2 linked regions of the Mus musculus genome follow. The protein of the gene in region 1 interacts with the protein of each later gene in a pairwise test. Links are inferred from orthologs where the notes say so. Each region holds a gene or a part of one and is shown in the gene's direction. Other genes may lie near its edges.

Evidence for each region.
Region 2: the proteins of Fkbp1b (region 1) and Ryr2 interact in binary tests that used the Homo sapiens proteins (3 or more experiments, as listed by UniProt). The link is inferred for Mus musculus from reciprocal best matches to the Homo sapiens genes FKBP1B and RYR2.

The regions. Positions count from the first base shown.
Region 1 is NC_000078.6:4,838,454-4,843,672, reverse strand, and holds the start of Fkbp1b (peptidyl-prolyl cis-trans isomerase FKBP1B), read left to right. Parts: upstream 1-2,099; 5' UTR 2,100-2,237; coding exon 2,238-2,274; intron 2,275-2,432; exon of another isoform or gene 2,433-2,587; intron 2,588-5,219. UniProt on the Homo sapiens protein: Has the potential to contribute to the immunosuppressive and toxic effects of FK506 and rapamycin. PPIases accelerate the folding of proteins. It catalyzes the cis-trans isomerization of proline imidic peptide bonds in oligopeptides.
Region 2 is NC_000079.6:11,732,460-11,737,124, reverse strand, and holds part of Ryr2 (ryanodine receptor 2), read left to right. Parts: intron 1-1,453; coding exon 1,454-1,654; intron 1,655-4,665. UniProt on the Homo sapiens protein: Cytosolic calcium-activated calcium channel that mediates the release of Ca(2+) from the sarcoplasmic reticulum into the cytosol and thereby plays a key role in triggering cardiac muscle contraction. Aberrant channel activation can lead to cardiac arrhythmia.

The DNA.
Region 1 (5,219 bases):
TCGTAGGCGACTTTAACTTACTACAAACAAGGCTATATTCCTTAAGCTCTATTACCAGAAGTATCACTCGTGTATCCCAAGGGCACTTGTTAAAACCCACACCGTGAGCTTGCTTCTACTGCAGCCTGGTCCTCTTCCAACTCTCCCTCAACTTCTCCCCACGCCTACATCCCTGGGCCTGAAGTGCCACCCACTTCACACACACACACACAACGAAATACCTTAGTCTTCTGCCTCCCCGTCCCACACGTAAAATCCCGGGGCCGCTCACGTCACAGGACCGGGAATCAGAAGTCCCGGGCACCTAACGGAAGCCTCGGCCTTTGGACCTCGGAGATGCCTCTAGACTATTGGCTATTGAGTGCGTCACGTTAGCGGCGGGTCCTTCCGATGGCCATTAAGCGCGGGCTTTGCCGCAAGTGTTTCTGGGAGTTGTAGTTCCCGCGAAATCACCGCCCGAAAATCTTCACAATACACCTCAAGTGCTTCAACCTCTTTTCCCACGCAGGTCTCAACTGTTCTCTTAGAAGTGGTTGGCAAGAGCCGGGCGTGGTGGCACACGCCTTTAATCCCAGCACTTGGGAGGCAGAGGCAGGCAGATTTCTGAGTTCTAGGCCAGCCTGGTCTACAGAGTGAGTTCCAGGACAGCCAGGGCTATACAGAGAAAAAAAAAATTGGTTGGCAAGAGGGAATCGGAATTCTACAGTCAACATGTGTAAAAAGTTAGTGTTTAGTTTAGAGGGGAGTCAAGAACTCCACATTTAAAAATCCCATAAAATATCACTCCCAAAATGTAAATACATCCGTTTACCTGAAGCCAGCCTCGTAGGCCTGCCCAAGTAGCAGATCTGTTCTACCCCGATCTCAAAGTACCTGCCCAAGGCCATAACCAGTAGGGGGGTGAGGGTCAGGGTTGGAGGGTGGGGTGTCTTAAGCTTTTTTGTTTGTTTGTTTGCCTTAAGCCCTGACGACTCTAGGGCACACACACGGGTTTTTTTCTGATCCTAACGTGCACAGTACCGTAAACCAGCTTTTCTGAGCACCAACTTTAGTCCTTGTATCCTGGCAAGCTAGTATCTGCGAGCTAGCCACTTGGAAGAGTGGAGATGGAGAAACTGAGGAAAATGCGTCAAGTTCCAGTTCTGGGCCTTTGAATAAATAGGTCCTTCTCCCATACTCACCTCCCATTGGCTCTTGTCAGAAACAAATTCAGATCTGTGCAACGGGTGTAGAAAAGATGGGGGTGGGGGGCATTTCTTAAAGTCTCCTTCAGCCTTCAAGCAAATGTTTTCTCCTCCCAATGTATCTTCCTAGGGGCCATGGACGTAACCTCTGTTAGCTTAGCGTGAGTGAACAGGCCCTGGCTTCCCTGGATTCAAGTCCCAGGACCAAGGAAGCGGAATTCGGATTGGGGAAGGACAAAAGTATCTTTTTAGATCCTGGTTTGGTTTGGGTAGAGGTAAAAGAATTCATTCATTCCTTCTATAGCATTCACCATTCAGGCTGTCGCTGTATCTTCAGCACAGAGCTGATCCTCCTTTAATTCAGTTGGAATCCCCAGGGAGCAGTCCTTTACCTTGAAAGGTGAGACCTCCAATACATATACCTGCTGTAAAACTTTGAGGAATGATGAATGTGGTCTTAAGGTGGTTGAGGAAAATTCGTCAATAATTGGTTTCTTCCCTTCGCCGGCTCTGCTCCAATAGATTCGGGAAGCCTAACCCGGGTAGGTATCAGTCTCGGGTGCTTCCGTTTTACTCTGAACCCCACGGCACTGAGCACACGTATTTAAAGAGTTAGTTTAATTACCGACTTTCTCCTAGTCTGTAGGATTGAGTGGACTCCCTGGGGCTTTGCACCCTGTAGGTGCTAAATAAATATACACTGAGTGGATAGATGTGTGGATGTGCTAGTGCCGGCACGCCTCGCTCACCCTGCCTCCCCTTTCAGCCAGTGGGTTAATGGTGGTTAGTCTGGCCAGGATCCGGAGCAGCCACGTCAGGGTCGCTTCCCTCGGGCTCCGCCCCGGCCGACCCCACCTTGTCGCACAGCTCCACCCCGCCGCCCCCTTCCCGGCGGCCCCTCCCCGCGCAGGTCCTGACTCCAGCCGCACCTCCTCCGGCTCTGCAGTGGCGGCAAGAAGGCGAGCGGGAGTGCCTGCGGGGTCCGCGCCAGAGCGGAGCCGGGGTCGGGGCAGCCGCGAGGACCCCCTTGGAGGCGGGGCCTGTGGGACCGTGATGGGCGTGGAGATCGAGACCATCTCCCCAGGAGACGGTACCGGGCGGCTGGGCCCGGGAGGAGGAGGGGTCCCGGGGCGGAGTCCGCGGGCTGGGATCTGATTCCGAGGTGGCTCCGGGGACCTGAAGCGGGGAGAGGGTCAAAGATGCGGGCGACAGGAGGAGACCTCCTTCCCCGATTCTTGTGGGTTTCAGAGGACAACGCACCATCCCATTCTGCGCCCGCTCACCTTGGGGAGTGAAGGCGGCCACCTTAGGGCAAGGGGGTTATGTCCAGCCACTGTCCTAGGCTGCGGCTGCTATCTCCTGAGCTGCAACCTCTCGATTAACCGCTGCTACTGACTTCCCAGGTTTGAATTTCTGTTCCGTTTTTCCTGTTCGGTTCCAGGGATGATCTCGCTTTGGGGGTTCCTGCTGTACAGAGAAACCCCTCCTATTGCACCACACCTCCCCGCCCCTCTTGTCTGGAGGCCCCCAGGGCTGGGCAGTGGTTAGTTGTGGAGAGAGCCAATTTGGGAGCCTGCCACTCCTTTGGCTGCTTCTGCTTCCTATTTCACCCTCCCGGTCCTACTCACCCTTCCTGGTCATCTGCCCTCTACCATGCCCTCCTCAGTCAAAACCCAGCCTTCGGACCTGCTGCTTGATCCTCCTGGGGGGTCCATGGTGCCGGGTCAGCCAGGTCAAAACAACTCGCGTTCCATAATTTGGTTCATCGCCCCACCCCACCCCCTCCTCCCAGTCTATCTATCTCTGGGTTCCCTGTCTCACCAAGTTTCCTCAACTATTTAGAAAACTGGGTGTATTCAACATATTCAAGGAGTAGCTATTTCTTAAGCAAAATTTAATCCAGACCAAAAGCCACCCCCAAGGTCCAGAGTGTTTAACAAGCAAACTTGCTGTTGGATATTATTGGCATGCTCCTTCGCAGGGAGTTAAAGGGCTTCTTGGTTACAAACCGAGGGCTTCCTGGAAGTACCCGATACTGCCCAGATCACTCCTTGCAGATACACGTTTCTTCCCAGGCCTTGTCACCCACACAGCCTCTGAGCTGTCTCCCCATCTTCGTTCTCCCCGCCTTCCATTTGACTTCCGTTCTCAGTCCCCTCATTTTTCTCACAGGTCCCCTAAAATGCAGAGCTTTAAGGGCCCCTCCCTCAGGAAGAAAATCATTAAAAGACTCTTCCCCCTACTTCTGCAAGCAGCTGCCCTCTTGGTGATTGCTAGGGCGGGAGGGATCCACACTGGCACTTCCTCTTTCGATACTTACTATCCATGCATCCACAACCAACTTCACCAAGCCACTTGTGAGTTGTTAAACAAACCACTCATTTAGCAGATATTTATGGAACGTGTACACTGTGTGCTGGACCTAGGGTTACAGGATGGAACCAATGGGCTCTCACTGTGACTGGACTCTAGGACCCTAAGGATTTGTGTGTTTCCTGGTGGAACCCTTGTGCTTGCTAGGCACCTGCTGTACATGAGCTACATCCCAACTCTGGATTCCAGGTTTCGAGCATGTCTTACAACTAATTCTATTTCCCAGGTCCCTTTACTTCTCCAGACAGACGCCCACCCATCTTTTAACAGCCAATTTAACTGTTTTCTGTGGGGCTTTCTCTGGCTTCCTTTGGTAGGCTCCTACAGTCCACTAACCGCTGACTGTGTTGTTATGTTCCCAAGCTCCTAATCCAGTCTCATAGCTTTCTATTCCACCCAGTTTGTTTATCCAGGGTTGGCTCTGCATCTGCCTCTGTGCAGTAAAAACTTGCATGTCTAATGGGCAGCTCAAGATTGCCACCCTCACAAATCTGTTCCTTTCCAGTTTTCTCATCTCTCAGAACAGCTCTACCACCTTCCGGTTACCCAAACCCTAATCCTTTCCCACCATTCAATGGTGAGATGGGGAGTGGGCTCCTTCCTCTCATCCACTTGCATGCCCTTGTCAGCCCTGCTTCCAAAACGTATCTCTAATCTATTTCACTCTCTTCTCTGCTAATTCATGCAACCATTGATTTCTTGTCTAGACTATAGCAACAGATGTCTAACCATCCATCCCACACTCGGGAGCTAGAGTGATCTTATAAAATCTTAATTCAGATTAGGTCATTTCCATGCTTTTAAACCCATCAGTGGTTTCCAATTGCATTTAGTATGGGACCCATCTCTGCACGCTGCGTGGTGCATCACTGTCATGTTCCTCTCCTCCATCTCACCCTCTTCCTTCCTATTCTGAAAGTGCACCAATCTTTTCCTGCTTCATGGTCTTTTGAGTTGGTTCCTTCTTAAGCAGCAGCTCAAACCTCATCTTCTTCAAAATGCCTTCCTGGCTCACCCTTTCTGAAATTGCCAGCTCTCTGTGTCTCTCTGAAATTCATCAGTGTTCATTTTCTTTAAAGGATTTATCACCATCTGTAATGATCATATTTATGTGAGCATTGTCTCCTTCCATTAGAATGTAAACCAGAGAAATGGCTCAGTGGCTAAGAGCTCTAGCTATGCATGAAGACTTGAGCCTGAATCTCCTCACTCATCCAAAAAAGCTAGGTGTGACATACACACACACACACCCCACTCCATTGCACCCCACATGACCATCCCATGTACACAAAAGAAAGAAGGTAGACCCTAGAAGAGCAGGGCTCCTGTCTTTATTGTTCTCCGATGTATCTCTGATATGAGGGCACAGGCCTGGTCATTATTGATTTCTTGTTAATGATATTCATCTTTGATGTAATCATGACTCTATAGCAATCTGAGATTTAGGTTTGTGCTTCTCTTCTTCACGGGTTCATATATTACTCTCTGTCTCTGGTCATCTGACACACAGTAGGCTATTCATGATTCTGGTCTAGCACGTAGTAGGCTATTCCTGAACACTTGTAAAATAGATGAAAGTAAGGGAGTAATTTTAGACTAGGAAATTGAGACCAGTAGCATCAAGTTCAAATACAAACCAGAAAGGAGACATTATTAGTTTGG
Region 2 (4,665 bases), on another chromosome or scaffold:
AATCACTAGAAGAAAGATCTCTTGGAGTTCTGTTAGAAAGAGAAAGAAGGGTCTTTGCAGGTGGTGATTTTTCAGCTGAGGTCTGGTAGAGAAGCAGCGGTTCCCTAGGGGCATCCAGAGAGCCCAGGGGGATTGGGTAGTGGGTCCCAGGAGCTTTATGCACACAGCAGGCAGCACAGCACAGGGCCTGAGGCTGGAGAGGCCAGGTGGTGTCTCCAAGGCAAGCAGAGGAGGTGAGTTCAGCCTAGCAGCCCAGAGTCTGTCTCTTCAGCAAGCAGTCAGCCTTGTCCACACTCGAGGGCATGGTGCCCTCATGGCACCCTGGACAAAAGACTTGGAGGAAGGAGAAGAGATTGCTAGTTGACATGATCATACCACTTTGACATGCAGGAATTTTTAAACTTTTCTTTTGGCCTACTCTGTATTTGTTACAACGGATGTTTAGTGTAGTTGGGATTTTTCTAAATTAAATTCATATTTTTTATGGGTAGCTTACTTTTTAAAATACTTAGTTTTGTTTACACACACACACACACACACACACATATATATATATATATATATATATATATGTAAATCTGTGGGGGGTATAGACATATGAGAACAGGTACTCATAGAAGCCATAATGGAGCATCAGATCCCCTAGAGCTGGAGTTAGGAAGTTGTTAGCCACCTGGCACGAGTGCTAAGCACTTGACTCAGGGCCTCTGGAATAGCCACAAGCTCTCTTAACGCCATCAAGCCATCCCCTCAGTCCCTGACTTTTTGTGGATTTTTTTTTCATGAGTTGCTTGGAGTTGCACCCAAGGCTTCATACTTCCTGGACAAGCATTCTACCACAGAGCTATATCTCTAGACCATTCACAGACACACTTATCAGCAAACATTTCTCAACAAATAGTTTACCAGTGAAAATTTGTTTGTTTTTTCTATAAGAAATCACTGAATTAGTCACTTAAGCAGTGGGCTTTCACCTCATGATCAGTTTGTATATGACCACCATATTCTAGCCCTGGATTAGGGATTCAATGTCTTTCGGCTCAGCAATATTCACACTGTGTTCTTTCTCATAAAGGTACATTGCCACACCCTTCCTCCAACAATTAAGTTATAACCCAATTGCATATATTTTGAAAGAAAGGTGTTCTATTTTCCAACTAATCATGAAAACCCTCCCAGAAGTTCCCTTTGTAAACTCTTCCTTATTTATTCATTGGTTGCTGTGCCTGTGGTACCATAGAGGACCTCTGAATGATTGCCTCTTCCGGGGGCATGTATCTGCTATGCTGGCCTGTGCATGGTAACTTCATTCAGTAAGATTAAACACATTTCTGCTTGTCAAGTGCTAGGATGCTGTGTTGTAGAGAAAATAGGAAACTAAGAACATTTTACACTGGTTATGACTTCATATAAATTAAATATTAATGCTATGACTTTTAAATTATCTCCTCAGATGTGCCTCTTGCTTCAGTACCTCTGTGACTGCCAGGTTAGGCACCGGATCGAAGCCATTGTAGCCTTTTCAGATGACTTTGTAGCTAAACTCCAAGACAACCAACGGTTCAGGTATAATGAAGTCATGCAAGCCTTAAACATGTCTGCCGCACTCACTGCCAGGAAAACCAGGGAGTTCCGGTCACCACCGCAGGAGCAGGTACCAGAGTAGAACTGAAGATCTTTCTCATTTAGAGTTTTGGAGCAGTCAGGATCTGTGCATGACAAAACTACTTGATAAGTTAGGAGTGGCTTTTTCTTTTCTGTTCTGTTGAAATTAGCTATGTTCATTTGGTCAATAGTCTCAGTTTCACCAAAAGAATTTACCTGCTTACAATAAACCATTGCTTATTATCGAATGAGATGTTGTTATACCTAATTTGATAAATGAGTAAATAATCAGTAAAAGGCATCAACTCAACTAGAGTTGATTCAAGGACGTGAAGATGTAACAATTTGAGGTTCCACAAATAGTAACAGAATTCAACCAGAGATAGGTCAACGTTTACTGGCCTGGATCACTTCAAATAATAGAAGCCCTCCACTCCAGGAGCAGACCCTAGGTTCTTTGACCTTGGCACCTTTGTAGAAGAAAGGGCCACTAACCCAAGGCCCTTTCTCTAAGTTTTCCATTGGCTAGTGTCAGAGAAAGCTAGCTAGAATTTGAGTAAGGTCCAGAATTCATTGCATCATACTGAAAATGTTTATATTTGACTTAAAAATCTCTCCTTTGACCTATACCCTGGTAAGGTCTAAGGGAACAAAGAAAATGCCAACCCTGAGGCTGCAGTTATTACCATGACAAAGCTGTGCTCACTAAACTTCTCTAGAAAAGAAAAAAAAAAAAAAAGGAAAAAAGAAAAAAACAGAAGGATCTTAGCAAAGGAGAAAGGGCCAAAGAAGAACCCAGGATATTTTAGATTAAAAAAAAAATACAATAGCTAGTGAGAGAAGTGGGCTGGAGACCAGGATGTGGACGGCAGAGGTGTCGTTTTTAACTTGGAAGAGAACAGTGCAGAAGAATCTTCAGAGGACAAGAGAGAACAGAGACAGTGAAGAGAGACAAGGATCTCCGCATGATATTGAGCTGCAAAGGAGGAGCAATAGGCAGACTGAAAAAAGGTCACTGAAGAAAATGTCTGGAAATATCAAATTCTCTAAAGCAGTGGCTCTCAGCCTTCCTAAAGCTGCAGCCCTTGAATACAGGTCCTCATGTTGTGGTGACCTCCAACCATACAATCAGGTCACTTCTACTTCATAACTAAGTTTGTTACTGTTATGAATTGTATTGTAGATAACTGATATGCAGGATATGTAGTATGTGACCCTGTGGAGGAGTCATTCAACCCCCAAAAGGGACTGTGACCCACAGGTTGAGAACTGCTCCTCTAAAGGCTATGCAACTAGAGATTCAAGAAGCCAGCCAAGCCCTCAACAGGAAAACACAAAGGATTTCACATCAATATATAGTATAGCAGAGTTTCTGAAAATTATAGCCAAGGGAAACCTTTTGAAAGAAATGAAGTCTTACATGAAGAGGGAAGACAAGTCTGAGTAGCAGTAGGTTGTTTTCAGAGACGATGGGATGGAAGGTGTGTCCCCACCACTGAAAGAAAACCTGGCAGCTCAGCGTTCTGCATGCTGTGCACAAGACCTTTCAAGAGGAAGTGAGCATTGAGAAAGTGAGCATTGAGACAGTGAGCATTGAGACAGTGAGCATTGAGAAAGTGAGCATTGAGGAGAAAGTGAGCATTGAGGAGAAAGTGAGCATTGAGAAAGTGAGCATTGAGGAAAAAGTAAGCATTGAGAAAGTGAGCATTGAGACAGTGAGCATTGAGACAGTGAGCATTGAGAAAGTGAGCATTGAGAAAGTGAGCATTGAGAAAGTGAGCATTGAGAAAGTGAGCATTGAGAAAGTGAGCATTGAGAAAGTGAGCATTGAGAAAGTGAGCATTGAGACAGTGAGCATTGAGACAGTGAGCATTGAGAAAGTGAGCATTGAGGAAGTGAGCATTGAGGAGAAAGTGAGCATTGAGAAAGTGAGCATTGAGACAGTGAGCATTGAGACAGTGAGCATTGAGAAAGTGAGCATTGAGGAAGTGAGCATTGAGGAGAAAGTAAGCATTGAGAAAGTGAGCATTGAGAAAGTGAACATTGAGACAGTGAGCATTGAGAAAGTGAGCATTGAGAAAGTGAACATTGAGACAGTGAGCATTGAGAAAGTGAGCATTGAGACAGTGAGCACTGAGAAAGTGAGCATTGAGGAAGTGAACATTGAGACAGTGAGCATTGAGAAAGTGAGCATTGAGAAAGTGAGCATTGAGGAGAAAGTGAGCATTGAGAAAGTGAGCATTGAGAAAGTGAGCATTGAGGAAGTGAGCATTGAGAAAGTGAGCATTGAGAAAGTGAGCATTGAGAAAGTGAGCATTGAGAGGCTGGAACAATGATGCGGAGCTTAGGATGCCTCCTCCCCTCCAGGAAGACTCAAGTATGGGTCAAAGCTTCCACATGTAGTGGCTCACAACCACCTGTAATTCTAGCTCCAGTGGATATAATCTTTTCTTACCTCTAAGGCATCTGCATAAACAACACCTCCCCTAAACACTTAAATACAATAAAATGTAAAGAAGTTAGCAAATCTTGGACATGCTATTTAAAAAAAAAGCTAAAGATGATTTTTTAACAGAAAGGAAAGAAAAATGACAGAAGAGAATAGAGAAAGAAAAACAAAAAACAAAACACAACAAAACACTGGGAAGTGTTAGGCTTGCATGCATAAATAAAAACACACTTTCTTACCTTTATTTTATTAGCTTTATCCAAATATTGTTTAGGGGTTAAGTAGATATTATACAACTATCTTTTGCTGCTCTGACTGGGTGTGTAGAGAATTTAAGATGACTGTATTGTAAATGGAGATTAGAGGGACATGGATAGAGATAAGACTTTAGAATTCTTCCCAGCTGGAGAAATGCTGGTACCAGCAGCTAAGTTATATATAAAGGCATATGCAATATCTCTTTATTATATCTCCTAAGAGCATATGAATCTATAATTATCTTAAATCTGTAATAAAAGGACATTATAAACCATAAACATTTTCCAAAGAAAAATATGGGAGGACATCAAAGCCCTCTTATCTTAGTTTGTGACTGTAATACTATTGGTTCT